4 linked regions of the Notamacropus eugenii genome follow. The protein of the gene in region 1 purifies or fractionates together with the protein of each later gene. This does not show direct contact. Links are inferred from orthologs where the notes say so. Each region holds a gene or a part of one and is shown in the gene's direction. Other genes may lie near its edges.

Region 1 (7,152 bases):
CAGGCAACCCAGGTTAGGACTTTGAAAAGATGAAAACTGCAACCAAAAAAAGGTCAAAGGATTCTAAAGTAGCAGGCATGGTATATTTGAATTTGTTAACCATAAAATTAAGATTTAAGGGTGAAAAGTGAGGCCAGAGCAGAGGTAATGTACTGAGAGAACAAGGAGGAGAGGAGTGCCTCGATGTCATAGTAAGGATGAAGAATTGGTTTAGAAGGGAGACAGAGGGAGAGATGGAAGACTAAGAGTTTATGATGAGAGGGAAGACTTTATGTGTTTAAGATGATATAGCTAGCATAGTTAAGAATAATAGTAAGATCCAAGGTATGATCATTTCTACATGTGGTTGAGATGGAATGAAGGTAGGAGGCTGATGAATTACAATGCCAGTATATTTGATGGGGCATCAATATGCATAATGAAGTCTCCAAGTTCAATGGCAGGGATTTGAGCGGAGAGAAAACTTTGAGCTAGGTGGCAACCTTCTTCAAGAGGCAGGCTTACCTGAAATCAGATAAATGACTACAAGGATTTGGACAGAGCAATATATACAGACAGAATGAATGGAGAGAGACAGAGAGATTGTTGAATGATTGAAGCAGAGGGAAGAGCAGGGAATAGACCACCTCGTCCTCTCCTTGCCCTGTGTGTCAGGGAATATGAGAGAGAGCATATTTAGGACTGGAGAAGGTAGGCAGAGACGCAGTGCCTTTTAGAGAGACAAGTTGTTGAGAGTCCAAGAAGGTGACAAGTGTGTGAGAAAGTGGTGAAAGATGAAGAGAAATTTATTAAGAACAATGTGGGAGTTACAGAGAACTCAATGGGAAGGGAGGCCAGAACAGCAGAAGGATTTGGGAAGAACAGGGCAAAGGTGGATAGGGAAGAGGGACTGGGGAGTAGTTAGAAAAGAGGATTTTCCCCTTGGTGGACATTAATTTTGAATCTTGGGCAATTGGGGAAGAAAAGATTGGAGTTTGTTAACCATAAGACAGAAAAGATTGGAGTTTGTTAAACATAAGATGAAGTATCAAATGAATGGATCTCTCATGCTCAAGGGTCCAGCAGCGTTGGAGAGTGGAGTTAATGTGTAGTTTAGAGAAGTTCAGACTTTAGAATAATTTCTGGATACAGGGACCTCAGGGACCTGACTGAACACACAGTAAAGTGCAGTTTCTTTGAGTCCCAAGATGGCAGGGTATGGTGCCCTGCTGTCTGGACATCCAATAGTTACCAATTTGGAAGCCTTGTTACTTTTCTGCGATAGTCCAGGGAAGCAGGGCACAATTAACTAGGACCTCCTCCCAGGATCAATGATGGAGAAAAGGAGAACAGAAAATAGTAGGAGCGTTGGCATTAATGGTGGCCCCCACCTGGGTGTTCAGTGTTAAAGGGAGGCCTGAAGAACAGAAAAGAATAGGCTGAGCTTGCAAATCAGGGCAGTGTGTTCAGGCAGGAGATTCTAGTGGTGAGGAAGCTTAACACACCTCCTGGGAGAGGTGAAGCCATGAGCCTCCCGGCATTCCCAGCTGTTCTCCCCAGTTCCCAGCAGGTGTTCTCTATCGTCATTCTCTCCTGCAGCAGTGGCAACTCCTAGCTCCCTGTGGCATCAATGGTCTTTTTTTCTTTTTCTCTACCTCTCTCCAGAGGAAGAGACTCTTCCAGGTCTGTCTGCACAATGCAGAGGGAAATTAATGTTCTGAGGTTTGGGTTCTTCCAACCATCAACTCAAATGAATCACCAACCCAAGCTGCTTCTAAAGCCTCCATAGACCTCCAGACTCACCAAAGTTTGCTCAGGACTCAGCAACATAATCCCACCCCTTTCACCTTGATGCAGGAGTCTGTTACAGACACTGGGTAAAGAAAGAGTGAATTCACAGTCTAATCCCTCAAGCTTTTGAGAGTAGAATTTGGATAGAGTTAACTCAGATTACTGGAAGCTATTTCTGGCACAGTCAAGACAGGAGAACCAAGTACCTTCCCTCATTACTGGACACCAATTGTGGGCCTGAGAAAAATTAAACAATCTCCTTGAAAGCTTTAGAGTCCCAAGGGACTTCAGAAGTTCTCTAATTCAACTACCTCATTTTCCACATTAGGTAACTGAGGCCCAGATCTTCTCCAAGGTCACACAGGTAGTAAATACCTCAATCTGGTGTGCTGGATCATACACTACTTGGAGTCAGGAAGATACTTAACTGTGTAAGCCCGGGGAAAATCATTTAACTCTTTTGATCCATGTAAAATGGGAATAATGCAGAGGTGTGGTGGAGACCTAATGTAGTGTTTTGCAAACCTTAAAGCTAATATAAATTGTGAGTTAGTATTACTGCTAAGTGGTAGCTTTGTAAGATTCATGTTGCTCGAAGCAGGATCTGACTGGGCTGAATGTGTTAAGGTTTCAAACCTGGGAATGAATTCTTGGGTGAAGATGAGGTCTTGGCTCTTTGTGTATCCTTTTCAGGATTTATTCTACTACCATGGTTTCAGTTCTCACCTGTGGCCAACTTTCTTGATTGCAAAATATCCAGTGTGTCCATTAGGTAATACACGTCTTGCCTTCCAGCTGTTTTTTGGGAGTGCCCATGGGAACAGCCTGAAACCAGAAGTAACTGATGGAAGCATGAAATAGATGCATGTTGAAATGCAAACAATTTCCTTCTCTTTCTCTTCCTACATTTCATAATCTCCCTGGATAAAACAGGGTAGCAATAAGGAATACAATAGGGAAAGCAGTAAGGGCCACTGAGGGAGCTAGAAAGCTCTAGGTAACCATAATAGGAAAGTTAAGTCATAAGGCTGTAATCATGCTTGTGCAGGGTAGGGATCCTTAACCTGAGATCCATGAACTTGTTATTTTTTTATGTTGGATTACTGAATTTCCATATAATTGGTTTCCTTTGTAATCCTATATATTTTATGTATTTACGAATTTTATCTTGAGAAGAATCCCTAGGTTTCACCAGACTGCCAAAGGGGTCCATGAAACAGACAAGAACTGTTAGCAACTTCTCACTTAAGGCTTTATGGTTTACAAAGTTCTTTCCAATACAATATCACCTCATCCTCATTACAATCATATCAGTTAGGTAGAGAAGATATTATTATTCCTAATTTTAAAAGGAGTGTACACTGAGAGAACTCAAGTATGTTATGCAAGATCAAAGAGTAAATAACAGGACTGGGGTTAGATTCTAGGTTTCTCTGACTTTCTGGAGTCAGTGCTTTTTTCCACAAGATCTCTCTCAAGAACTTTGGATTTGATTGTGCAACATGGGAGACACTGGCACAGGACCACTCAGCATGGTGTGCCCACATCAGAAAGGGTGCTGTGCTCTATTAGCGAAGCAGAATTGAGACAGCACAGAGGAACCGTAGGATGTGCAAATTTGGAGTCACCACCCCAAATGTTCACCCAGACTATCTGTGCCCAATCTGTGCTAGAGCATTCCAAGTTTGTATTGATCTCATCAGCCACAGTCGTGCACACTGAAACTTCACTTTATCATGGTGATGTCCCTGTGGTCCTCTTCAAGAATGAAGGACAACAACCAACCAGCTAAGTACTAGAATTAAGGACACAAAGACAATAACATGGACCCTCAAGGAGTTTACATTCTAACTGGGCACATGGGTATATAAAAACAGATACAGAGTAACCCTGGAGAAGACACTGGCCCCTAGGGCAACTAGGGAAGACTTTATGTAAGAAAGTGGTGCTCCAGTTGCATTTTGAAGGGAACCAGGGTTTCCAAGAGTTGGAGCTGAAGAGGGAGAACATTCCAGGCATGGGGGGTACAGCCAGTGCAAAGGCATAGAGATGGGAGATGGGAATGAAGGGGAAGAACAGCAAGAAGGACTGGAGGATCAAAGCCAGCAGAGTTGGACTGCAGTGTGTGTGGAGGGCAGTAGTAAGAAGGCTGGAAAGGGAAGACAGGGCCATGTTGGGAAGAGCTTGAAATTCCAGAGTTTGTACTCGATGCTAGAAGCAACAGGGAACAGCTGGTATGTATTACGTAGGAAGGCGGCATGATTTAGGGAAATCCCTTTGGCAGCTGTGGGAAGTAAGACAGTTCCGTTGTCCACGGTCCTGGGGGATAAGGCTGGTGACCCAGCCTGGACAGGTTAGAGGTCAGGAACGACTGCGCAGGCCCAAGGAGCTGGGGAGGAAGGGCCGGTCAGAGAGGAGAACACGGAGTCACGTGGCCAGGGGGCGGCGTGGCGGGAGACGCAGCCTAAGCAGCCCCGCCTTCCTGCACGTGTCGCAGTCTTCCGGTAACCTCCCTGGGGAGGCTGCCTGTCCACTTAGGGGGACGGACAGTAAAGACTAGGAGAGGCTTTCCCGATTTCACCACATGTTTCTCCCTGTCGGACCTCACAAACTAGCCGGGGAGCCCCGGGCAAGTCACTTCACCCAGTCGGCTTCCGCTTCCTCAACCGTAAAACGAGCTGTGGAAGGAAACCAGTCCAGCGGCTTGGCCGACGGCCTCCCAAATGGAGCCACGAGGAGCAGGACGTAACGGAAACGACTAAACACAACAAACGAGTTCCACTCCCAGCGCCCGGCCAGACGGTGGCTCCGCCCCCTTCCCGAAGAGCAGTCCAGTGATTGGCGCTCCGCGCCGTCCAATCAGGCGGGAGCGGGCTATAGGAAGGGCTGCGGCGTTGGCGTCAGCGCTGGCAACATGGCGGATCGTCTCACTCAGCTTCAGGACGCCGTCAACTCGGTGAGGAAATGGAGTTGGCGTCGCTGCCTCATCTCTTCCTGGGCGGGTAACGGGGCGCCGGGGTTTGGGCGTTTTCTTTCTCCTCCCGCAGCGGCTGGGGCTGAGATGACGAGGTGAGAGAGGTGGCAGTGACCCGGCCGGGAGCCGAGCTCGGGACTGACCCAGGGACAGGGGGAGGGGCCGCGGCGTTGACCGGGGCTAGTGACCCACCGGAGACGTCATCGCCTTCGGCTCTCGTCGGTTCTTCCCCCTCCCCCTGCGCGGCTGGTCTGCCCCGGAGCCGCCCTCCTTACCTTTCTGGGGGAAGGGAGACGGGCCGGAGGAGAGTCCTGGGCGCCTCCCCGCGGTGCGGAGGAGGGAAGCGAGCGCTGCAGGCCCTGGGCGGGCCGTGCGACGGCGGTGCCCGCTCCTTCCGGGCTCGGGCTGCTCGCGAGGAGGGCTTTGTTTTCTACCCCCGGCTCCCAGACGGGGCTGCGGCTGCCCCCCGAATAGAGGAACAAGACGCTGTGCAGAACGGTTACGGGTGTGAATCAGTAACCAACCAGATACAAATATGTGCTAAACACTTTACGGTAAACGTTGATCAATAAATGCTAAGCACCTCATGTGCCAGGCACTGTGCTAAGCGCCTTCCAGATATTAACGATAAATATTAAGTTCCTTCTATGTGCCAAGCTTCCTGCTATGTGTTAATCGGTGATCAGTAAGCATTCATTAAGCACCTTCTATGGACCTGGCCCATATCTAATAATATTAAGAGATGTTCATTTAATCCCCTCAATAGCCCTGGGAGATAAGTGCTAGTATGATCCCCATTCAAGGAAACTGAGGCAGACAGGTTAAGTGACCTGCCTTGGCACGTACAACTTCCAAGTGTCTGAAAGCGAATTTGAACGCGGGTCTTTTTGACTATAAGAAGCAGTTTTATTTAGGGCTGCCAGTGTACTTTACAGGTTGTCTTATCTCTGTTGGCCCAAATGTACTGGGGATCCACAGTTAAATAACTCTTATATGCGAAGAAGCTTTGTGTGTGTTTTCATAGTAGATTTTCACAGAAACTATTGAGGGAGTTATTGTTAGAGGCAGCTAGTGACGGTGGGCCTGGAATCCGGAACACTCAGTTTGCTCTGTGGCCTCCTTTCTTCAGCTGTAAAGTGGGAATAATAATGACACTTATCTCACAGAGTGAAATGAGATAATATTTGTAAAAATGATCTTAGCACGGTGCCTGGCTTCCTAAGTCCAAGTCCAAGTCTGGTGCCCTTGTCCACTAGCCACCTGACTGCCACTTAATTGGGCTTGCTGAACAGTGTGGCAGCAGGGTGAAGAACCTTCAGTTCCTGATCATCGAAGTGTGATTGTTCAGCCAGGATTAACTTTGACATGGCATTGCAAAGTTGACCCTATTTTAAGATAATTTTACGTATGAAAAATAGAGTATTGAGTAATCTTAGCCATTGTCTTCAGAAGGGAACTTAGGGAAATTGAGGTGGAAGTGGAAGTTCATTCATTTGGCAGATAATGAGTGTATACTGCATGCACAACCCCACTAAGTTCTGCAAGATACAGTTCTTTCCCTTGAAAAATTTAGCGTTTAATTGGGACAAAACATGTACACATTTTAAAAAGTAACAGTACAAAAACAGCATATTAATTAAAAGCCAACATGAATGCTACTCAAATCCTGTGGGTTCAAGAAAGTAGAGATTTGCTTGTTCAAGAGATTTAGAAAGGATTCATGAAGTCTAAATGAATCAGAAGATATATTTTGGGGAGTGATGGAAATATTGGGTAGGGGAGAGATTATTGAGAGCTTTGAATTTTATGTTGAGGGTGATAGGAAACTGAAAGATTTGAAGCAGTGGTGGCTTGATGAAAGTGGTGTTTTTAAAAAAAATAAATTCTATTGGTATACTGAATAGATTAAAGAAATATGAGACTAGAGACATCAGGAATCTATTGCAGTAGTGCACAGGTGAACAGAAGATTGAGTAGTGGGAATGGAAAATAAGGGACAGATATGAGATATTTTGAAGGAAAATATTAATATTGTTAACAATAAAAGAGAAGAATCATAGGATCATAGCAATAGATCCAGACCTCAGAGGCTGTTAAAAACTCAAGTATGGATCAATAGTGACAGGGCAACCAAAAACTCTAAAATGATCTAAGACCTAATTTATAGAATAATCTGTTTAGAGCTAAAGGGGATATTAGAGGTCATCTAGTCCAACTATTTCACCACAGAGAATAAGTGATTTCCCTTAGGTCTCACAGTTAATAAATACAAGTATAGCATCTATAAAAAGAGGTGGTAGTTCTGTTTTGGGCATCTAGGTGGTACAGCAGATAGAGTGCCTGGACCGGAGATAGGAAGATTCATCTTCATGAGTTCAAATCTGGACGAAGACACTTCCTAGCTGTGT
Region 2 (7,939 bases), on another chromosome or scaffold:
CATGACCAGTACTCTAGCCATTGAACCACCTGACTCTCCCAGAGTTGCTACCATTCACCTTCACAAGCTCAGAGTTCACAAAGTTTAAATGAGAGGAAAACAATAGTTGACCTATAGGTCAAAAAAACATACAGAATTCTTATCAGAGCTCATGGAAAAATATCGATCAGTACCAAGGAGGAATCCTTCCCCAGGGACTGAATGTTCTCACTCATAATCATTCACTCAGTAGGGTTTGCATGAGGTGTTGTTTCTTACAGTTCCTCAATGGGTTTATTTTGCCTAAGGAAGCTCTTTGCTTCTCCCAGCAAGTGGAACCCATCACACAATTATTCAACCAACAAGCATTTATTAAGATCTTACTATGTTCCATAGTAACATCTAGAGGCAGCTTGATGGCTTAGTGGGGTAGCGCACAGGGTCTAGAGTCAGGAAGACCTGAGTTCAAATCCAGCCTCAGACACTTACTAGCTGTGTAGCCTTGGGCAAGTTACTCAACCTCTTTTTGCCTTAATCCACTAGAGAAGGAAATGGCAAACCATGGCAGTATCTTTACCAAGAAAACTCCTTGGACAGTATTGACCTGCTACGATCCTCAGTATCACAAAGATCAAACACAAATGAACAAATGAACAATGTTTCATGTGCTGTGCTAGAGGCTGGGGATAAAAGTACAAATAATGAAACAATTCTTACTTTCTCAAGGAGAAGCATCTGCAGAGAGGCCAAGAAAGCTGAGGGAAGAGAAAAGGCATTCGATTTGGCAACTGAGATCATTGGTAATTTTAGAAAGAGGAATTTCAGCTGAATTCCCTATTGAATAATAGGGACAGAGCCAAATTGCAGTGGATTTATTTTTAAATATATTTTTATTTATTTCATTAAATATTTCCCAATTGCATGTACATTTTTAACATCCATTTAAAAAAAATTGAGTCCCAAATTCTCTCCCTCCTTCCAATCCCTTCCTTAAGCATTGAGCAGGCAAGCGATATATCAGTTATACATGTGAAGTCATGCAAAACATATTTCTGCATTAGCCATGTTTGCACAGGTTTCAAAAGAATGTGGGATAAGAAAAAAATGGAAGCACTGACTGTAGGTGGCTTTCTCAAGGAGTTTAACCATGAGGAAGAGGACATATTGGACAGCAGCTAACAGGAATGGTCTGATCAAATAAGGATTTTTTTAAGGGAGCCTTGAATCAGCTCTGGGTCCAGCTCCCTGTCCTGCAGCCCCTTCATTCCAGAGGCTTCCCAGAGAGTTTTGCATCAGATCCAGATCCAAATCCCCAGTCTATAACCTTTGTCTTCACCCAGTACTGAGATCAGACCCAGCCTGAATTGCTAGCTACTTATTGCCTCCTGTCCCAACTCAGCTGGTACTTTCTCCACCTCCTGCCTGTTTTGAGTCTGGCCTCTTAGACTTCAAAAGATTCGGTATCTCCACCAGCTACCACAAACTTGGGACTCAGGTAAGAGCCTTGAACAGTCTAATCTCCATCCTTCAGTGGACCTCTCTCTAATCACTAATATTATGGCTGGATTTATCCCTTAATGATTAACATTCCTACCCAGTCACAGTCCCTTCATCCCAGTGATTCTGAACCCCTAATGTCATTGTACAAACTCCCTTCTTCACCACTGGCTTCCTAACTCCCAATCCCCTCAATTCTACCTCCCTGCCCCAACTCACAATGTCACACTCCAAATCTACTGGCTCCTTTTGACTGGGTTCTCTTGGGATGCTTGCCTACTCCATAGTAACACACTTGCTTTCATCTTAAGAATTTTCTTTTCCCATTCCCTCCATCTTCTGACTCTCTCTGAGACTTAGTCACTCCTTCCAGCCCTGGTTGTACTTTCACTGATACTCTCCAACTCACTGGTTTTGGTGGTGGAGTCAAAAAACCTCCTTGTTCTCCATAGCTACTTTCAGACTCTTTCTTTACTACCACCATCACTCAATAACCTCTCCTCCTTTCCGGTTCCTTCAATCCAAATTGCTCACCCAAATTTATCAAGATTCTGATAGCTGTGATCTATCAGTCCCCAGGACACTTTCCTCCTTTTCTCAATGAGTCCAATGCCTGGATCACAGTTTTTCTCTCCTTCCCAACTCCTGTCCTTCCCTATGGGATTCCAGCATACATATTACTATACCTCCACACCATCAAAAACACATTACTACACCCTAGCTTCACAGTTCCTCAGTCTACTCAGTTTTCATGACCTACTCTTCCTTTCAACCTCAGCTACACATAGAAATGTTCCTGCCCTTTTTCTTACCATCATACCTCCATGTTCATAAACTGCTCATTTCCATTATCTGATCCCAATCTCTTGTCATTCTATCTTTCCCTGTTCTTAGTCCTCACAATGACCAGTCCCTTCCATTCCTTAGTTTCTTCCCATTTCATCACCCCTACATTGGCTAAACTTTTTTGCCTTCCTTAACTTGACCCTTTTGTGAATCAATTCAACTCTACACCCTTCTCCATAACTGAGTCCATTACCTCCCTTATCCTGTTACCATCATGCCTTGCCAAGCCTCAGACTTGGATGACTTCCATTATCTGCTGCCTTTCTTTTTATTCATGTGCTGCTGAATAGAGCTGGAGAAAATGGTGAAAACGTGCTAACTAGGTCCACTCCAAATTTGTGTAGTATAATCTTAACTGGAGGCTCAAGGCTCGCATGGCACACCTGTCCCCTATGTCTAAAATGCTTTCCTTCCTCTTCTCTGCCTCCTGGCTTTCTTCAAGACACCTCAAATTCCACTTTCTGCAAAAAGTCTTTCTCTGCACTGACTCCCTGTCTTCCCCCTGAGACTGCTTCTCATGTATCCTGTATATATCTTGTATGTACATAGTAGCTGGCATTTTGTCTCCCTCTTTAGAATGTAGATCCTCTTTGAGAGAAGGGATTATGTGTCCATCTTTCTCTACATCTTCAGCACTTAACACAGTGACTGGTACATAGTAAATTCTTAATAAATGATTTTAACTAAGAATGAGGAAGACATGGGCATACTTGCAGGCAACTGGAAAGGACTCAGTAGTTAGGGAAAGAGTAAAGATGTAAAGTGTGGATAGTAGAGGGGGCAATCTGTTGGAGTTGTTGGGAGGGAATGGGATGAAAGGCAAATGTTGGCTTTGACATCCAAGGTCTAGCTCATCTGAGACCAGAGTGAAGTAAAAGATAGTGGGAGAATATGTCTAAAGAATGTGAAATAAGGAGGAGGAAAGAGAGGGAAATTCTTAGTGAATTTTTTTTGGCGGGGATAAGAGGAAGCAACAGTTCTCTGCTAAAGAGAACACCAAGTAGGGGGTGCTGTTGGAGCCTTGATGTGAGATGGGAAGGTTTAGAACAACATATGTGGGGAGCTGCATAGCAAAATGATTTGTGAGGGGTAGAGTGTTTGCCTTTCCCAACTGAGATCGGATAACATAAATTGGTCCAACCATCCTAGAAATTATGTAAAAAATTATATAAGAAAAACAACTCAGTTGTGTGTATCCTTTAACCCGGTAATGCTTTACTGGGTTTATATCCCAAGGAAGTTAATGATAACAAGAAAGGCCCCTATTTAGGAGAAGGCCAGTAGCAATACTATTCATAATTGCAAAAACCTGGAAACAATATGCACACAAAGACTGGGAAAATGCTCCACAATTTGTGATAATGAATGTAATGAAATACCATTGCATTGTAAGGAGTAGTGGATATAAAGAATTCAGAGAAACATTAGAAGACATACTAAGTGATTCACAGTGAAAAAAAGCAAATGGAAAAGACCAGCCTACAAGGAAGGCAGCCACTTAATGACTCGTGGAATATGGGACAAATGTTACTTGGCCAGCCCAGTCTTGCTAAGTCCCATGGTGACTGGCCATAAAGGAACTCATAGAATAGATTGAATTCTTGCCTGAGGCAGAAAGAAGCAGTTCGAATGACAGACAAGACTTCAAGAGGTTTTTGTTTTGTTTTGTGACTTGTTTTTTTTTTTGGCTGTCATGAGTATGGATAACCAAAAAACTGAGCTAGCCTCTAGAGCTATGAGCTAAAATAACTCCAACACTCTGCCCACTTCAGGGAGCAGGCTGCACAGCAATGGCAATTCAGCAGAGTACTGGCAGATGGCAGCAGAGACCACTGGAGGACCAACAGAGAGCAGCCCAGCAAAAATATGGGATGATAGAATTAGTACTGTGTCCAGTCACCAGGGGGCAGCAACAGGGAGAGTAGCCTACATGACCATCTTTCAGCTTGATGACATTACCAAACTGGCATATAATATTAGTAGCTCTGCAGGGGAAACCATTTTTCCTGGTTGTGTGTATTCTCTTTGTATGAGTTTTCTCCCATTAATACTCCTGTCCATATGCATTTCTTCTGCCACTGGTGATGTGATAATCTATGGGAGTATACCTTTATGTGTATGAAAGATGGGAAAGACAATGATATTTGTGTATACTTAATTTTGCTTCACCACTAAATTTGGGGTGGGGGGGTGCTTTGAACTAGCGTATCTAAGAAAAGAAACATCAATGGAGACTTTTTAGATGGCTCCAACACAATATATGCCTAAAACTTAGCATCACTTTTGGAGTGGGGGAGGCGCAGATGAGGGAGACTTACACTATATATCCAATGATTGAAATAGTGTAAACGAAGACAGCATTAAAAAGCAATAAAAATTCAGGTTGTATACTGATGAGGTGAGCACCAATTTATTAACATTTAAGTACCCCACTTCCCATTCTGGTAATAAGCAATAAACTCTAAAAAAGGAAAGTAACAAGTGTTATCCATCACCCTGAGGCAGTTTTGCTTAACTGTTAAGAATGTTGGAGGGGTCGGTTGGTCAGAAGTGTCAGCTGTGTCAAAGCAAAATTTATCAATGAAAACCAATAATTTTCATTATATTATAAAGAAAAAAGCAAGAATTAGAGGAGAGTGGGTCACACTGTGGAGCTAGCCCACGATTTTTAAAGCTACTCTGGGAAATTGAGGGTCCTGGGCCTGATGGTAAACACAGAAAACAAAGCAAAGAGGAAACCTTGGAAAAGACATCAATGGATCACAAACTGTAGGTATGTCTACGGGCTATTGTATATATGGAAGAGGGATTACATTTGTGGTGTTTAGCCACATAGGGCAGAACTGAGAGTAATGAGGGAAGCTCTGAAAAAAAAATTAGGCTTGATAGTAGGAAAAATACCTTAACAATTAGAGCTGTTTAAAAGTAGAATGGGTGGGGCTATTCCCTCATGAGAGGTACTCAAGCAGAGTTTGGTTGACCACTTGCTTTTCCACTTATTTATTCATGTTACAGTAGGGATTCTTTGTAGCCATGGGTTGGCTTCGATGGCTAATGAGGCGTCCCTTCCAGCTCTTAAAATCTGTGATTCCGTGATTCTATTGTCTTTGACTTTTCATCACTTGCTTATCACTGCTGGGCTGTAACCCAGCTGTACCATGATCTTTGGAATCGTTAAAATAGAAAATCAAATTCATTTGTGTGGCAGGAGAGGAGCTTCAGTGTTTACCCAAAGAGGCATGACTATTGTGTCTCAAAGAATGGGTTCATATATGTACATTGTTTCCATAGAAATGCATCCCTACTTATGTAATGAGCAACCATGGAAAAAGTGGACAGATAGAATTTTATGTTGGGTACGACTTTCCAAAAACATAAGTCTTCCATATGCTGAGAGATTCCTGTAATCTCAAAGACTGTCTTTGAACAGTCTGCCACACTTTAAAGTTTGGATTGTTAGGGGAGGCATGCAGAATGACAAAGAACAACGACCACATTTCAAGATTATTACAAATGTTCCACATGAAATGAACTAAGGATTCTTTTTGCTTTCTTGGTTAATATATATATTTTTTAAGTTGTAAGGAACTGCTAATGACTTTATGGTAGCAGCGATTATGTATTTGGAAGCTGGGAATTACTGTATAAATTTTTAATGTTTTTACCATGGTGTGGTTTCTCAGAGAGTAACCATCAATTTTCAGATACTTATGCCTAATTTAACCTTATAGTTAGGCTGAAAATAATAATAGCACCTCTAGGTCTGTGAACATTTTTATTAGAATGCAAAATTTTCAACAGTCTATTTTGCATGACTGACTTTTTTCCAGATCTCTATTGCGGAGGCATTCCAGTCTTGTATGTTGGTTTGTTATCAGATCAGTTTAATTGCACACATGTTAATTAAATGCCTGCTATATACAGGGAAAGAAGAAGCATGGCATATTGGATAGAAAGGGCAATTTTAGAACTGGAAAGACCTGAGCATCCTGGGCTGCACTTTGGCATAATAGAAAGATCACATTGGCTTCAGAGTCAGAGGACCTGCATCCCAAAAGTCCACCTCTGATATTTATCTCAATGACCTTGGACCTATATTCCTCTGGACCTCAGTTATCTGTAAAATAAAGCGTTGGACTAGGAAGCCTCTGAAGGCCCTTCTGACTCTAGATCTATGATTCTGGAATCCTGCCTCTGAGAGAGAAAACACACTTGTCTGAGGCCACAGACAAATTATTTCACTCATCAGTGCCTATGTGACTTTCTAAAGTATAAGGAATAAGTCAAAGGTTTTCATTGCTGGAAAGACTTTCCATACTGGGAGTTGTTCCCCTCTGATGAAATCCTAGGGCTACACAATCAGCACCCCTCACATTCCCTCCTGCCACATACACACAAATGTGAAGATCACTATGCTGAGCACCGGGGATTTTTTAAAATGACAAGCCTTTCTTTTCAAAACCTCATGATTTAAACATTAAAATTTTTAACTGTGGACCTTAGAGAGTCCTTGGTACTTTCTTGTAGGAAGGTCCTTTAGTTTTTGAGAAATAAGATTGGACTTTGTTGGAGGTGCAGCTTAAGCCCTGGTCTTCCTAGATTCAAGGCTAGTATCCATCCACTGGGCCTCAGTGTCTCTTACCTGTACAATCCCAGTTGCAGAGCAGATGACCTTATGCATTCGTGGAGGGAGATTCTTTACTCTGGTACTGTCCAGACTTTTATTTCCCACCTTCATCATGGAGTTGTTTATAATACAATAAGTTAGTCTCATTCAAATCTGGCCTCAGACACAATCCTGGGAAGATACATCAGAGGAACAGACAGAAAATTATAATGATAGGCATTGCTTGGCTGGCTATATTTGCAAGTCTAGGTTCTTTGTGTAGGGAAATGAGAGAGAATCCTCAGTGACAGCAGACTTCTCTCATAAAACATCATAATTCAGGATAACAGGACCTGAGGGAAACAAAGCCACAGACTTCGGAGGTGATCTAGTCTAATCCAAACCCTATAAGTAAGTCACATTGACATGAATCCTAACATTTATTATTATACCAAATACTCTCAGAGGCAGCTATATTTCCATCTCTGGGTTCTAGGGATACCCTTGAGAAGTTGGGGTGCTTTTTTAATGCCATCAGATGATACTGTTCCTTTCACTATTAGCCACCAATGACTAGTATCTGAGCACTGTTTAATGAATTAACATCAGGTAGTTTATACAAAGGGATATTTGCTTTAAGGTTGTAGTAAGAGCAGAGGTGCAACATTTCCCCCCAACACCTCAGGGGTACCCCAACTCCTATTCCACTTTGGTGTCTGGGGTGAATGGGCTTAGAAGTAGCAGAGTTTCTACGTAGTGTTGGTCCCATCATGTTCATGTCCAAATCTGGCATTTGTGATAGTCTCAGATCTGGACCAGGTAGTTGAGACTGTTCCTAGTTCCCCAAGACACCAGCACAAGGCTAATTGCACAACCTGGCATGGACTCGATTCCTGGGCTCCTAGACCTTTTGGACTCCACTTTACTGACCTTTTGAAACTCACAAAGTCGTAGCCTCCAACTTCCATCACATAAAAGGAAAGAGCAAAAGCCAAGGCAAAAAACCAAGGC
Region 3 (7,274 bases), on another chromosome or scaffold:
TAGAGTTGTGCCTTGTTCTTTCAAAATTTTTTCATAAACAGTATTTTGTTTTTATCCCACAAGTGACTTTCTTTAAAATGAATAAAAGAGTATAATATTAATTTATTGTTTGTCTGGGTCCCTGAAGTCAGGCCATTGGAGTTGGGCTATATTTTGTATAGTGAAAACTGTACGAATACAGCCCAAGCTTTAAATTAATCCAAGTCTCTACCTAAATGCCACCAATTTTGTTAAAAAAAACCATAGGCATGAACCCTCGCTCTTAATTGTTTAATTTTTTTTAATGAAGTACACAGTACAAAGTGTTTTAAAATCATTACTAAAAGAGTTCTACTTGGCAAACGGAAAAAAAAAATTCAGCTGAATCCCATTTTTAACACTGTTTACCAAGATGTGAATTTGTGCAACCGCTTGGAAGGTTAGGCTTAAGCTATTATGCTAAGTATCCCAATGGTATTAGCTATTTAGATGTACACTAAGAATAGAACGCTCATGCAATGCTCATTTAGTAATCTGGGCAGGGTTATCCAGGGTATCCGTCGGCTGCACTCTATCTAATAAAGTATAAAAAGTTACACATGATAGTAAGTGACAACACTTACCTTGTTCTTTTCATTTTCTAAAATGTCTAATACCTGAGCAACGTGCCCTTCTTCTAAACACTTTTGGCCTGCTAACTGAAAGAGACCAAAATCTTCCTCTTTGAAGTTCTCCTCTTCTAGGATTTGCTTTAGAAACAACAACAAAACCCGACAAGTTAGCATTCATTTACGTGATTATATAATAAATTAAATTATGACTTGATTGTTTAGTCTTGATCTACACCCATAGTACAAACACATGGGCAGAATTAATGACTTTCCTAAACAGTATCCGAATAAACTATCTTAGAATCCAATGTACTAAAATTCAGAAAAACTTAGGAAGCTAGAGAAGCAATGTGTGTCTGGTATCTCCACTATCCTTCTCCCACCCCTGGGAGTATTTATTCATAGTGGGGGCAAAAAAGCAACACTGCTCCAAGAGAAAACCCAAACGTCCAGCCTTGCATACAAAGCATTCTCTGGTACAAACAAATAACAATGTGGAAGGGAGAGGTTTATTTTTGTTCAAAGAAAATTACTTCTGAACAAGTTGTAGTATATGAATGTGATGGAATACTATTGTGCCATAAGAAATGATGAACAGGAAGACTTCAGAGTGGCCTGGAAAGACTTATATGAACTGATGCTGAGTGAAATGAACAGAACCAGGACACAGTAACACAGTAACAGCCACAGTGTGCGATGATTGTTTCTGACAGACTAAGCCCTTCACAGCAATGTAAGGACCTAAAACATTTCCAAAGGACTCATGGAAAATGCCATCCACATCCAGACAAAGAATTATGGAATTGGAAGACAGACTGAAGCAGAATATTTTCTCTTGTGTTATGTTTTGTTTTGTTTTGTTTTTTCTCCCATTCATTTTAATTTATCTATGTAACATGACTAATGTGAAAATGATTTAATAAGAATGTACATGTAGAACCCGTATAAGATTGCATGCCAAAGATTGTATGCCATCTTGGGGAGGGAGAGCAGAGGGAGAGAAAATTTAAGACTCATGGAAGTGATTATTGAAAACTGAAAACAAATAAATTAATTTTTTAAAAAAGAAAGTAAGTAGATCCATTTCTCAAATTTTTTTGAGCTATGTCAGGACTCTCTGGTTTTATGGATGTGGAGTCCCTTCTCTGACACAGATGGCAGCCCCTCTGTTCCTTATTCTAGACCATCTTCATAAGTTGCTATGACTGCAATAAAATAAATTAAAAATTAAAAAAAGAAAATTACTTACACATCTCTTTACTATGGACTGAAGTTCTTCCACAGCCATTCCTGAGTTTTTGACTTTTCTTTCAGTTTTACTGTAGAGAAACACTAAAAAGAAAATAACTGCTCAATTTATATAACCTGCTTTAAGATTTACAAAGGACTTTATATATATATGTATATACACTATAAATATATTTGTTAATTATTTGATTGTTACAACAACTTGTGAGATAGATAGTGGGTTTATTATTATTTCCACTTTATAGGTCAGGAAACTGAGGATGTTGAAGGGTAAGTGATTTGACCATTATCACGTAGTTGAGATAGGAGACTTGACTCCAAATTGAGCATGACTCTATACTCAATGTCAGTGGTGTCAAACTCAAATAGAAATGAATCCCTCCCAGCCAGCCACATTAGAAAACCACAAATTAACATTATTTATATTATATTGTATTTTTCTTTATTTTGTTAAACATTTCCCAATTATATTTTACTCTTTTTCAGCCTCACTCTTGAGTTTTGCAAGAGCCTCTGGCCTTGAGTTTGACTGCTCAGTGCTATATATACCACACTGCAATTAACTGATGAAGATATTTTATTATTATATTAAGGAGTAGGTATATAAATATACTTCTGAATTAAGTATTATTATGAAGAATCTAATAATTTTAAGAGTTTAGTAAAAATCATCGCTGAACTTTAGCAGTCTTTTTATGGAAATATTAAAGATGATAAAACAATAGTTGGTATTTTAAAAAATGAACTTTTCATGTATTTTCTAAGTTTTCCAGTTCCACATTTACATATGCCTACTTTTTTCTGAGATGTCTTTACTTTCCAGAGGAAAGGGTAAGCATTTTGTAATGCAAAAATCACTCCAAATACTGAGAAATCCCAGGTCTAATTCAGAACTCTGGTTCTCTGTTAGCGAACCCATATGGGGTCCTGACACACAGTTTAAGAAGCACTGGGCATCCCTAGTAGAAAATATTTAAGAAGCCCTGCTCTACTGATAGGGACTGGGGGGGAACTCTTTGATCATTCTTGGATTCTACACTTCTACAATTCTATTGGAGATTCCACTATTCTAATGTCACGGGCATCAGAGCATCCCCACTTACAGGGTCATAGTCTAGGTGCAGAAGAGGCCCTAGAAATCCCCTGTGTCAACCTTCTCATCCATCAGCACTGGGATAGCGCTGCTCTGGGATTCTGAAGCCACAGCACTCAATCCAACAAGCCTTCCTTAAGGGATTACGGGGCCTCGGGGCTAAGCTCTGAGGATACTTAGACAAAAAAAAATGCAACTAGCCCTTCAGGGAATCTATCATCACCTACTCTCCTGATCACCCCATCACTCCACCTCAGCATCACCTATACTGACGGCCAATTCCCTCAGTTTACAGAGAGGGAAACTGAGACCGGAGAGCTTTAAGTAATTTCACCCCTTGCTGGGACGGAGGGAAATCGAATGGATAGATGGCTTTTAAAAGAAGCCTCTCCTACTTGTGGGAAGTCAATCAGTCAATCAATCAATCAATCGAGGATCACTGGGAGAAGACAGACCAGAAGCAAGTTCACGAAGCTCCCCCTGCACGTGCTTGGCTGCTGGGCATCGGTGACATTGACCAACTCCTGAAACTGACGCCTGTGAACTAAGTGCCTACTGTGTGCTGGGCCCGAAGAGTGCGCTGAGCAGTGCTCGTCCTCGGGGGCTGGGGGGAGGGGCTCGGAGGCTGTCCCACCGGACGAGCCCCGTCTCCCGGCCTACCCGCTCTCTCCGCTGGGGGCCAGGTGGCTTAGCCGAGATTCAAGCCGCGTGTAGGGCCCCCCTCCACCCCCTAGGCACCCTGGGCTGGGCCGCGGCCTGGATCGAGTCCGGTGACTCCCCAGCTCAGGCCGCGGGCCTGGGGCTAAAGCCCTGCCCCGAGCTCTCCCCAGCAACCAGACCGCCGCCGCAGCCGCCTACCTGCCCCGACCCTCTCCAGGCAGGCCTGGGCCTCCTCCTCCGCTCAGCCTGGCCGAGGCCCCGCCCCTCCCCGCCTCCCGCCCCGCCCTGCCCGGCGCGAGGACCAATGGCGGAAGGACCCAGGCCCCGCCCCGGATCCCGCCCCCATCTGCGCAGCAGGTCTCAGGCTGAGGATAGGAGGAGGAGGAGAAGGAGGAGTCGGTGGCGCTGTCGTCATGGAGGATTGAGGCCCTGCCTCTGACCCCGCCCCCATCCTGCCCCACATCTCACCTCCCACGGCGCAGGGAGGAGGTGGAGCCCTCGGTGAGACAGTCCATGGTTAAGGAGCTGAAGTCCCGCCCTGACCCCGCCCCCTGCCTCACCTCCCAGGCTCTGGAAGGAAGAAGTAGGAGGAGCCTGTGATGTCGTCATGGAGGAGGAGCTAAGGCCCCGCCCCCCGAGCCCATCCCAGGTGGCTCCGGGGAAGGAGGAGGAGCCGGGGGCGGGGCGATCATGGCGGACGAACGGAGGCCCCGCCCCTGACACGCGTCCCGGGCGGCTCTGGGAGAAGGAGGAGGAGCTGCTGCGGCCGACATGGAGGACCAGCCGAAGCCACGGGCCCGTGGCGGCCCCCGGAGCAGGAGCTCCCGAGGCGCTCGCAAAGGCGCGGGTAAGAGCTGGGGCCCAGGGGCCCGTCACGTCACGCCACCCGCGCCGCCCCACGAGGGACTGGGGCGAGGCGCCGAGGTAGAGGGGCCTGCCCCTTGTGGGAGGTGGGGCTAATCAGGCGGCCCGGCTACCCCTCTTCAGGATGGGGATCCCCCCTTAGAAAGAAGGGAACCCCCTTAGAGAGATGAGAACCCCCTTAGAGGATGGGGACCCCCCCTTAGAGAGAAGGGAACCCCCTTAGAGAGATGAGAACCCCCTTAGAGGATGGGGACCCCCTTAGAGAGAAGGGAACCCCCTTAGAGGATGGGGACCCCCGTTAGAGAGAAGGGAATCCCCTTAGCGGATGGGGACCCCCCCCTTAGAGAGAAGGGAACCCCCTTAGAGAGATGAGAACCCCCTTAGAGGATGGGGACCCCCTTAGAGAGAAGGGAACCCCCTTAGAGGATGGGGACCCCCGTTAGAGAGAAGGGAATCCCCTTAGAGGATGGGGACCCCCTTAGAGGATGGGGACCCCCCTTAGAGGATGGGGACCCCCCTTAGAGAGAAGGGAACCCCCTTAGAGAGATGAGAACCCCCTTAGAGGATGGGGACCCCCTTAGAGAGAAGGGAACCCCCTTAGAGAGATGAGAACCCCCTTAGAGGATGGGGACCCCCGTTAGAGAGAAGGGAATCCCCTTAGCGGATGGGGACCCCCTTAGAGGATGGGGACCCCCCTTAGAGAGAAGGGAACCCCCTTAGAGGATGGGGACCCCCCCTTAGAGACAGGGTGATCCAGACCATTTCTCCCCTCTGCCTCTTTAGAAGACTCTGGTCTCCTTAGATTCTTTTTTTAAACATAAATTAAATTATTTGTGTTTAGTCTTCAGCATTCACTTCTATAAGTTTTAAATTTTCTCTCCTTCCCTTCCCCCCTCCCCAAGACAGCTTGCAATCCGATAGAGGGTCTCCATATACATTCTTGTTAAGCGTATTGTCACATCACTCATATTGTATAGAAGAATTAGAACGAATGGAAGGAACCATGAGAAACAAAACAAAACAAAACAAAAATAGAGAAAATCGTCTGCTTCCATCTGCTTTCAGACTCCACAGTTCTTTCTCTGGATGTGGACGGCATTTTCCATCATGAGGCTTTTGGAGTTGTTTTAGGTCCTGGCATTACTGAGAAGAGCTAAGTCAACCAAAGTGGGTCATTGAACAAGGTGGCTGTTACTGTGTGTAACGTTCTCCTGGCTCTCCTCTCCTCACTCAGCATCAGTTCAGTCTTCACAGGTTTTTCTGAAGTCCTCCTGCTCACCATCTCTTATAGCACAATAGCGTTCCATTACATTCATGTACCACAGCTTGTTCATCCATTCCCCAGGTGATGGGTATCCCCTCCATTGCCAGTTCTTGGCCACCACAAAAAGAGCTGAGCTGCTATAAATATTTTTGTGCATGCAAGTCCTTTTCTCATTTTTATGATGTCTTTGGTATACAGCTCTAGAAGTGGTATTGCTGGGTCAAAGGGTATGCACATTTTTATAACCCTTTGAGTGTACTTCCAAATTGCTTTCCGGAATGGTTGGATGAGTTCACAACTTTACCAGCAATGAATTAGTGTTGCAATTTTCCCACATCTTCCCCAGCATTTATAATTTTCCTGTTTTGTCATGTTAGCCAATCTGATGGGTGTGATGTGGTACCTCAGAGTTGTTTTGATTTGCATTTCTCTAATCAATAGTGATTTAGAGCATTTTTTCATTTGACTTTAGCTTTAATTTCTTCCTTGGAAAACTACCTGTTCATATCCTTTGACCATTTATCAATTGGGGAATGACTTGTATTGTTATAAATTTGACTCATTTCTCTATATATTTTAACAATGAGGCCTTTTTCAGAGATACTGGTTGTAAAAATTTTTTCCTAGTTTTCCTAATTTTCTAATTTTTTGTGTCACTCCTGACCTTGGCTACATTGGCTTTCTTTGTGCAAGAACTTTTCAATTTAATGTAATCACAATTATCCATTTTGCACTTTATAATGTTCTCTGTCTCTTGTTGGGTCATAAATTCCACTGTTCTCCATAAGTCTGACAGGTAAACTAAACGTGCTCTCCTAATTTGCTTATATTATCAGACTTTATATCTAAATCATATACCCATTTGGACTTTATTTTGGTATACGGTATAAGATGTTGGTCTATGCCCAGTTTCTGCCATTCTGTTTTCCAGTTTTCCCAGCCGTGTTTGTGAAATAGTGAGCTCTTATCCCAGAAGCTGTGTCTTTGGATTTATCAAACAGTAGATTACTATGGTTCCCCTTAGATTCTAAGGGGAACCTGTAGCCTTGAGGCCACATGTGGCCCTGTAGGTCCTCAGGTGCCACTCTGACTGAATTCAAACTTCACAAAACATTGTTTTCATGTGGCCTCGAGGCCACAGGTTCTCCACCTTGCCTTAGAACATTCACTATCTAAGAGTGACATTCCCACTTTAGAGGACTCTTGCCATTTCCCAAAGGGAATCTAGCCCATTCTCATGCCATCTGCTTTAGAAGATTGTCTGTGTTAAGAGTTTACCCCTGTTCCCTTTGAGAAGCGATCTGAGGAATACTCTGGTATCTTTCTGCCTTCCCTAGTCTGTGAGATTGTAGAATCATAGATCTAGTTCTGTAAGAGCCTCAGAGACCCAGAGTCTAACTCCTTCCATTTGTAGATGACAAAAGAGGCCCAAGTCAGCTCACAGACTCACCCAAAATCGCAGTCACAGTAGTGAGTTCTATCCACCATCTAGGGACCTGTAGAGAGGTGCCTTTGAGGCTAGGAGATTTGGGTGAGAACAGGATCTGTGGATCAT
Region 4 (7,803 bases), about 160 Mb from region 1:
AATAACAAATTTATGGAGAAAAAAACGGCATTTTAAAACTTTTGACATTCAGGGTAAATAGAAATATCCAGAAACAAACGTGTCATGGCTATTTCAGCTTTTCCAAAGCAAATGGCTGCACTTACAGTATTTGACACCTGCATGCAAGGTAATGAAGTCAAAACCTTATTCCTAATTATATTATTTTTTTTAGAATATAATATATTGCATTCATAAGGACTTAATACAATTTCAGTGTTCTCCTGGTTCTGTTCACTTCACTTTGCATCAGTCCATGTAAGACTTTCTAGGTTTTTCTGAAATCATCCTGCCTGTCATTTCTTATAGCACAAAGCTATTCCATTACAATCATATACCAGGGTTTGCTTAGCCATTCCCCAATTGCTGGGTATCCTTTTGGTTTCCAATTCTTAGCCACAACAAAAAGAGCTGGTATAAATATTTTTTTTGTACAAATAGGTACTTTTCCATTTTTTTGGATGTCTTTGGGATATAGACTTGGCAGCAGTATTGCTGGGTCAAAGGGTATGCACATTTTTGTAGCCCTTTGAGCATAGTTCCAAATTGCTCTCCAGAATGGTTGGATCAGTTCACAACTCCACTCCAGGGCATTAGTGTCCCAGTTTTCCCACATCCCCCCCAAAATCCAACATTTTGTTGATGTGAGGTTGAGGTGTGAGGTGGTATAGAGTTGTTTTAACTTGCATTTCTCTGATTAATAGTGTTTCAGAGCATTTTCTGAAACCCATTTTTGCTTGTAAGTTATAAGGCATGTATCACTGGATTAGTGTATCTCACATTGTATTCTGAATTAAATGAAAGATAATTGTGGTATTTAGAATCCTAGAGAATTTGGGAGATGGTAGGAACCTCAGATTCATTTGTTTATTCACTGTTTATTAAGTGTTTACTATTTGTACAGAAGGTGTTAAAAGTTTTGTTACAGCCCTACAAGGTGCAAAGAAAGAGTGTAAAGGAAGTGTTAAAGTTTTCCTAAAACTGCCTTACAAAGTATGAGCATTTATGTAAGGCATGGGGAGTGGGAATGCAGAGGAAACACTTGGCCTGGCATAGGGGCACAGAGTTATGAGCCAGCATTGGCAATGCCAAGACAGAGGCAACACTTGGGCTTGGAGAACAGGGGAAAAGTGCTTAGTCCTTAGCATGGGGGTGGGGAATGATTGAGAAACACTTGATCTGATATAGTCCAAGAGTCAGGCCCCACCAGGGCAGAGCCAAGTATAGGGGGCCAGTGGTAATGCTTAGACCCTAGCCCCATCCCAGGGCATGGGGGTACTGGGCTTGGAGCCAGGAAGATCTAAATTAGAAACCTGTCTCCAGATACTTACTAGCAGCATGTCCTGGGCAAGTTATTAGGATGCCTGCCTCCGTGTTCTCATCTATAAAATGGGGATAGTTTAACTACAAAGGACCTGTGGAGGAAGGTGCTGTCTGCATCCAGAGAAAGAATTGATAAATAGAAGTATGGATAGTACGCATTTACACATATATACATATTTGTGTCCAATGGTAGGGAGAAAAAAGAAAGTTACATAATAACTTTAATATGCACTTTAAAGGAAAAGCAAGTTGTGCATAATAGATTTGCAGTTTCATGTGCAATGCTTTTTTTTTTTTTGCTACTATTCGACTTTGTTAAAGAAATGCTTATTTTATTTCTTAAGTTCAGAATAAAAAATAAAATAAAATGGAGACAGTAACAGCACTTACCTCCAGAGTTGTTGTAAGGATAAAATGAAGTATCTGTAAAATGCTTAATCTTAAAAATGTCATACAAATGCTGCTTGTTAATACTATGTTGATTAGAGTAAGGTCATAGAGCTGTTATATCACAGAGGAAACAGTAGCTCCTTTTGACTGAGAGTTCTGGAGAATGATATGGAACGAAACAGAGGTAGAGAGGAGACAGGCGGTGGAGAATTTTATATGCAAGGTGAAGGCAACATGGTTCAGGGAAAAGAGTCCTACATCTGCTGTCAGACAGACACCTGGGGGTTCGGCTTGGGTCTTCTCTGTACTACTTATGTGACCTGGGCCTCAGTTTCTGTATCTGCAAAATGAGGGAACTAGATCAGAAGGTTTCTCTAAAGTCCCTGCTAGTTTAAAAATTATTTTATACTTTATCCTAAAAGCAACAGGGAACTATGTCATTCATTTTCCCTTACCCCAGTAGAACCTGTATGTATGCATTTACGCATACATATATGTGTGCCTGTATGCCTCAAGAAAAGGATTTTGTATTCCTCAGTTTTGTATCCCCAGTGTCTAACATAGTTCCTTACACATAGTAAATAGTTTTTGTTCGGTCGAGTCCGACTCTTAGTGACCCCATGGACCATAGCACACAAACACTATCCATGGGGTTTTCCTGGCAGGGATACCAGAATGGTTTGTCATTTTCTTGTCTAGCTCATTTTACAGATGAGGAAACTGAGGCAAGCAGGGTTAAGTGATACAGCCAGGGTCACACAGCTAGGAAGTGTCTGAGGCCAAATTTGAATTCAGGTTTTTCTGAGTCTAGGTCCAGCGCACCGAGCCATTTAAATGTCTGTAGTAAATAGCAGACTTAAATAAATGTTGGTGGAAGTCAATTGTTTCCTGCCCCTGCCTCTGTCCTTTCCAGTCTTCTTCTACCTTATACTCTCTGTACTCTGAGATCCAGTGACACTAGCTTCCTTGCCGTTCTTTGAAAAAGACAATCCATCTCCAGACTCCAGGTATTTTTCCTGCTTGTCCCCATGCTTGGAGCATTGTCCCTCCTTATCTCTCTATCTTGACCTCCCTATCTTTTTTCAGCTTCCACTTAAAATTTCATCTTCTAGGTTCTCCTTAATTCTAATGCCTTCTATTGATCATGTTCAATTTATCCTGTATATAGTTAGTTTGTACGTAGTTGTTTGTGACTGGAATCTCCATGAGGCAGAAAACCGTCTTTTGTTATTCTTTGTATTCTCAGAACTTAATGCTATGCTTAAGTGGTAGGTGCTTAAGATTGACTGAAATGTTTCCTGGAGGTAGGTTTGGAATCTAGTTTTGAAGGCTTAAATTGACAGTGAGGGGAAAAGAAGAGCAAATGTGCAGAAAGGTAGTATGGGAAAGAGGGATGGAGGGGGTAGGTAGGTGTGAATTTCAGGCTCACCAGCCTAAGGGAGAGAAATTTTGTCTCCCAATCCCATCTCCATTTCTACCTTCCCCCCCTCCCCCCCAGCATTTAGGAACCCTAAGGTCAATGATCTTTAGTCCCATTCCCTGGAGAACCTTGGTCCTCCCAAAAGAAAGTCAATCCTTCCAAAAGGATAGACCTCAGGCAAGGTGAGGTATGAGATTTTGACAAATGCCTCAGGGAAGGCTAGAGTGAGACCTAATCAATCCCAGTGGTATACTACTGAGAGCCTGTTGTTAAACTTACACTTTGGTAATCAGCAAAAGCTATAAATTAGATTTTAATTTATTGTTTTGTTGATTATCTAGACCTATGAAGGTGATGAACAGATTAAACTTAAAAGTGAGTATATAATGTACTTTTTTTGAGAGTTTGTCTTTAAATACGTATCAGCACCCCCCGCTCCCCTCCCACCCCCCCACCCCATGAAGCCAAATCTGACAGCTCCTTATCAGTTTCCTTGGCTGGATCCTCTAACCACAGCAGGCCCTCAGGGTTCCATCCTGGACCCTCTTTTTCTCTCCCTCCATACTACTTTACCTGGTGATTTCATTAGATCCCAAGGACTTAATCTCTATCCTGATGATTCTGAAATCTACTTACCCTACCCCAACCTCTTTCCTGACCTCCAATTCTTTCTGACATTTTGAACTGGATGTCCAGCAGACATCTTATACTCAATATGTCCAAAACAGAACTCATTATCTTTCCCCCTAAACCCTTCCTATTATTGTAGAGGACAGTACCATCCTGCCAGCCCCTCAGGCTGGAAACCCTAGGAGTCGTCCTGGTTTCCTCATTATCTCTCAGCTCCTCATACCCAAAGCATGTCGATTTCACCTTTGCAACATCTCTTCTCTCCTCTGATACTGTTACCACTCTGGTATAGGACCTCATTATACCTTATTATATGCAGTATATGCAAAATCCTGCTGGTGGGTCGGCCAGCCTCAAGTCCATTCTCCATTCAGCATTCAAAGGCCTTCATAACCTACCCCCTTCCTATTTTTCCAGTCTTCTTACACCTTGCTTTCCAACACATACTTTTCAATCCAGTGACCCTGGCCTCTTGACTATTCCCCTAGTCTCCTTTTCTTGGCTCCAGGCTGTCTCCCACACCAGGGATGCTCTCTCTCTCTCTCTCCTCTGTTCCCAGAACCCTTTAAATCCCAACTAAAGTCCCACCGTCTACAGGAAGCCTTCCCCCACCCCTCAATTCCAGCGTCTGCTTTCTGTCATTTCCTATTTATCCTGTGTCTATCTTGCTTTGCATTTGTATGTTTTCTCCCCCACTAGATGGTAAACTCCTCCAGGGCAGGGGCAGTCTTTTGTCTCTTTTTTGTATTCCGGGCACACAGCACGCAGTCTGGCATATAGTGCGCGCTTAATAATGGTTGATTGACTGGTGAGAAGGGAAGAGCTTTCGCTAACAGGCTTACGCCGTTGCTTAGCAACAGCCAATTCCATTCCCCCGCCCCGCCCCGCCTGGTCCCGCCTCGCTCCGCCTCGCCTTCATCTCGCTTCGCCCCTCCTCAGCCCCGCCACACACTCCTGACATGCGCACTAAGAAGCGCAGGAGGGGGCGGGGCGGCGGACTGCTCGGTGGCTCGCGGCCTCTCCCGTACCCAGCTCGCCCCGGTGCGGCGCGCCCAGTGACGTCTAAAGGAAGCGACTCCCGCCCAGGCCCCGGCGATAATCGACCGAGCGCCGGGTCCGCCGGCCCACCGGCCATGGCCTCCGTCGGCGTGGTCTCCGGGAGGCCGGCGGAGGAGACGCTGGCGCAGCCGCAGGAGCCGCCGCTGCAGGAGCAGAAGCCCCTGCCCGCTCCCCAGCCCCCGCCGCAGCCGCAGCAGCAGCCATCCCAGGCGCAGCCTCCGGCGTCGGTTTCTCTTCAGCCCCCGCCGCCCCCGGGCCTCAAGGAGGAGGAGACCTACTCTTTCCTGCCTTTGGTCCATGACGTCATCAAATGGTAACGTGCTCTCCGCGCTCGCCCCTCCCCTTGCCCCCTCCCCTTTCCCCCTCTCCCCTCCCCTCTCCCCTCCTCCCTCTTCCCTCCTCCTTTCTCCTCCCCTCCCCCTTCTCCCCTTCCCCTTCTCCCCTCCTCCTTTTCCCCTCCTCCTTTCCCCTCTCCCCCTCCCTCTCCCCTCCTCCTTTCTCCTCCTCTCTTCCCCCTTCCTCCACATCCCCACGATTAACTGCCCGGGGGTGACGTGCTCCTTCGCATCTCAGGTAAGTTCTGCGCATCTGCGGAGTCCCCCGAGGATGGGCTCTTTGCAGAGTACACGTTGCCATGGCAAAGAGATGAGGTGAACCCGTGATGGCTCCGGCTGCCTCAGGTGGATCAGGAGCCCAGGGTCCAATGCAGAGATCAGCCCTGCCCGGTAGACCCGAGTGCCCCGTGTAAGGGGAAGGGCTTGGATTTGAGCGATGTCCAAGGATCCCTCTTATGACAGTCAGCAAGCATTTATTAGGCACTTACTGTGTCATCCAGCTACTGCGATGAAGCAGCAGGCATCTAGTAAGTGCTTACTGTCTAAGCCAGGCACTGTGTGCTGGAGCTGGAGATTCAAAGAAAGGCGAAAAAACACAGTCCCTGCCTTTAAGGAGCTCTCATTCTAATGGAGGAGACAGCATGCCAAAAGACTACGCATACAAGATGTAGAGGTGGTCAGTGGAAGATCATTTCAGAGGGAAGGAAGACCTAGTGTGATATTTTGGGGTCAGGAATTCCTAAGCTTTGAAGTTGATGTCATGGTGGACTACCAGCCCTTAGTGCCCCTAGGTGTTGAAGTTGACCCAGTGTAATAAACGTATGTCTTTATACTTTCTGTTAATTAATGAGGAGAGGAGCAGGGTGGCCTGCATCACAGAACTGAAAGAGGGGCCATGAGCATGAGTACCTTTCTTTTTTTCATCTCTCCGCAATATCTGAGCTGTACACAGTTGGTACCACTTGCTCATCCCCTATCAAATCCCAGACAGATCAGAGTATTGGAAAGAGTTGTTTGTCCTTTGTCCTGCAAGAGGACCATGACATCAGGGAAGTGATGCCATGACATACAGGTGAATTAGATGTAGGTGAGAGAGGGCTGTGCAGAGTCACCTCCTCTGCCACCTCACTGCTCCTCCAGAGCAGTCTGGATCCAGGGGCAAAATAGAGATCAGGATGACTGGAGGTGGCCCTCATTGGAAAGAGTGTGTAGGAGAAGTTAGAAAACCTAAAAGTTTCTAGTCCCTTACATTCTGGGTCTAAGTTTCTTTCTTTGCCCAATCAAGGGATTAGATTAGAAAATGTCTAAAATCCCTTTTGGTTCTAATGTTCCAGGGTTCTAACTTTTCTCTCCCGATTCTTGTTGCGTTCATCTTTTACTTTTTTTGATCACTTCCCCTCCCACACACCCCGAATTCCCAGACATGAATTCTAGGCTCAGTACCCCCTCATTGGGCAAATCATTCAACTTCCCTTTTCTTGTTTTCTTCTCTGGCAATCAGAATTGGAAGGATCAAATGAGATAATGTAGCATCTTGTATTTGTATAGGCTTTCACATCTATTGTTATAATTATTTATACCAAGTATTTAAATCCCCTTCCCATCCTTTGTACTAGCCCCAGACTGGGAAAGGCTGCAAAGTATCGTGTAGAGAGCACCGAAAACCTATCTTCTAATCTCAGGTCTGTGATTAACTAGTAGGGTGACTTAGCTTCACCTGACCTCCATTTCATTCCCTGTAAGATGAAAGGGTTGGGTTAGAAAATCTCTAAGGTTCCTTCTAGTTCTAAAATTCTGTGATTTTTCCATTCTTTCCATCCCATGTCCTGTTATTCCCCAACTTCAGCCTAAAACCATAACCATTATGGATTTTGAGGACTTTTTCTGCAAGTGGTCAGATTTCTCCCTGTTACTGTTTGCCTATGTTGTATCTCCCAATCCCATTTTAGTCTATCAAAATTATATTCATCTCTTTAAGTTCATATGATGACCTCTTCCACAATGGCTTTCTTGATGATGTCTACTCATGTACTCCTATAATATTCCTACTTATATAAATATATACTCATATATATATATACACATTCATATAAATCTTTGAACCAGTCAAAGATTTGGTTGTTTTCATCCAAGGATTCAGAATGTAACTCATCCATGCCTACCCCTAGACTTCTGTGTGGCCTACAAGTCATCAGTCCCTCTCACATCTTTTTATTGATACATTTTTTCTAATAAATTTTTGGCCATCTTTGCATTGAGGCCATTGAGTGTCACTGAAGATGTTAATTTTAATCTGGAGAATTTTATCAAATTCTTAAGAGAATTTCTTTACTCTGTCATCTTTCATGACAAGTGTTGGTACATGAGCTGCAGTTATTTCCACAGAGGCCTTTTTGCAAATAGTATCATGAGTACTGAAATACAAGATGGACAAATGTATCAGGAAATAATGTGTCTTCTTGCCTTTGGGTTCACAATAAAACCAATTCTGCTAATCCCTTTATTTACCCCTTCAAGAAGTATTTGGGAAAATCATCCTTTATTTAATTGTAACTTCTCATTTCTTCTGGTGTTATTTATAATGGGAAGTTTATGATTGATACAGTTCAGTTGTTTCAGGAATATGTT

What was found.
Region 2: the proteins of MED21 (region 1) and MED12L purify together in Homo sapiens (affinity purification with mass spectrometry; 3 studies listed by BioGRID and IntAct, counting the BioPlex papers as one, with this or other methods). This does not show direct contact. The link is inferred for Notamacropus eugenii from reciprocal best matches to the Homo sapiens genes MED21 and MED12L.
Region 3: the proteins of MED21 (region 1) and RPAP2 purify together in Homo sapiens (affinity purification with mass spectrometry; 3 studies listed by BioGRID and IntAct, with this or other methods). This does not show direct contact. The link is inferred for Notamacropus eugenii from reciprocal best matches to the Homo sapiens genes MED21 and RPAP2.
Region 4: the proteins of MED21 (region 1) and MED9 purify together in Homo sapiens (co-immunoprecipitation; 8 studies listed by BioGRID and IntAct, counting the BioPlex papers as one, with this or other methods). This does not show direct contact. The link is inferred for Notamacropus eugenii from reciprocal best matches to the Homo sapiens genes MED21 and MED9.

Annotation. Positions count from the first base shown.
Region 1 is NC_092874.1:178,501,389-178,508,540, reverse strand, and holds the start of MED21 (mediator of RNA polymerase II transcription subunit 21), read left to right. Parts: upstream 1-4,107; 5' UTR 4,108-4,684; coding exon 4,685-4,726; intron 4,727-7,152. UniProt on the Homo sapiens protein: Component of the Mediator complex, a coactivator involved in the regulated transcription of nearly all RNA polymerase II-dependent genes.
Region 2 is NC_092877.1:339,850,146-339,858,084, forward strand, and holds the start of MED12L (mediator of RNA polymerase II transcription subunit 12-like protein), read left to right. Parts: upstream 1-4,840; 5' UTR 4,841-5,095; intron 5,096-7,939. UniProt on the Homo sapiens protein: May be a component of the Mediator complex, a coactivator involved in the regulated transcription of nearly all RNA polymerase II-dependent genes.
Region 3 is NC_092873.1:503,848,185-503,855,458, forward strand, and holds the start of RPAP2 (putative RNA polymerase II subunit B1 CTD phosphatase RPAP2), read left to right. Parts: upstream 1-4,248; 5' UTR 4,249-4,362; coding exon 4,363-4,438; intron 4,439-7,274. Other genes in the region: GLMN (glomulin), read right to left, coding at 603-728, 1,840-1,878.
Region 4 is NC_092874.1:334,239,294-334,247,096, forward strand, and holds the start of MED9 (mediator of RNA polymerase II transcription subunit 9), read left to right. Parts: upstream 1-4,725; 5' UTR 4,726-4,740; coding exon 4,741-5,153; intron 5,154-7,803.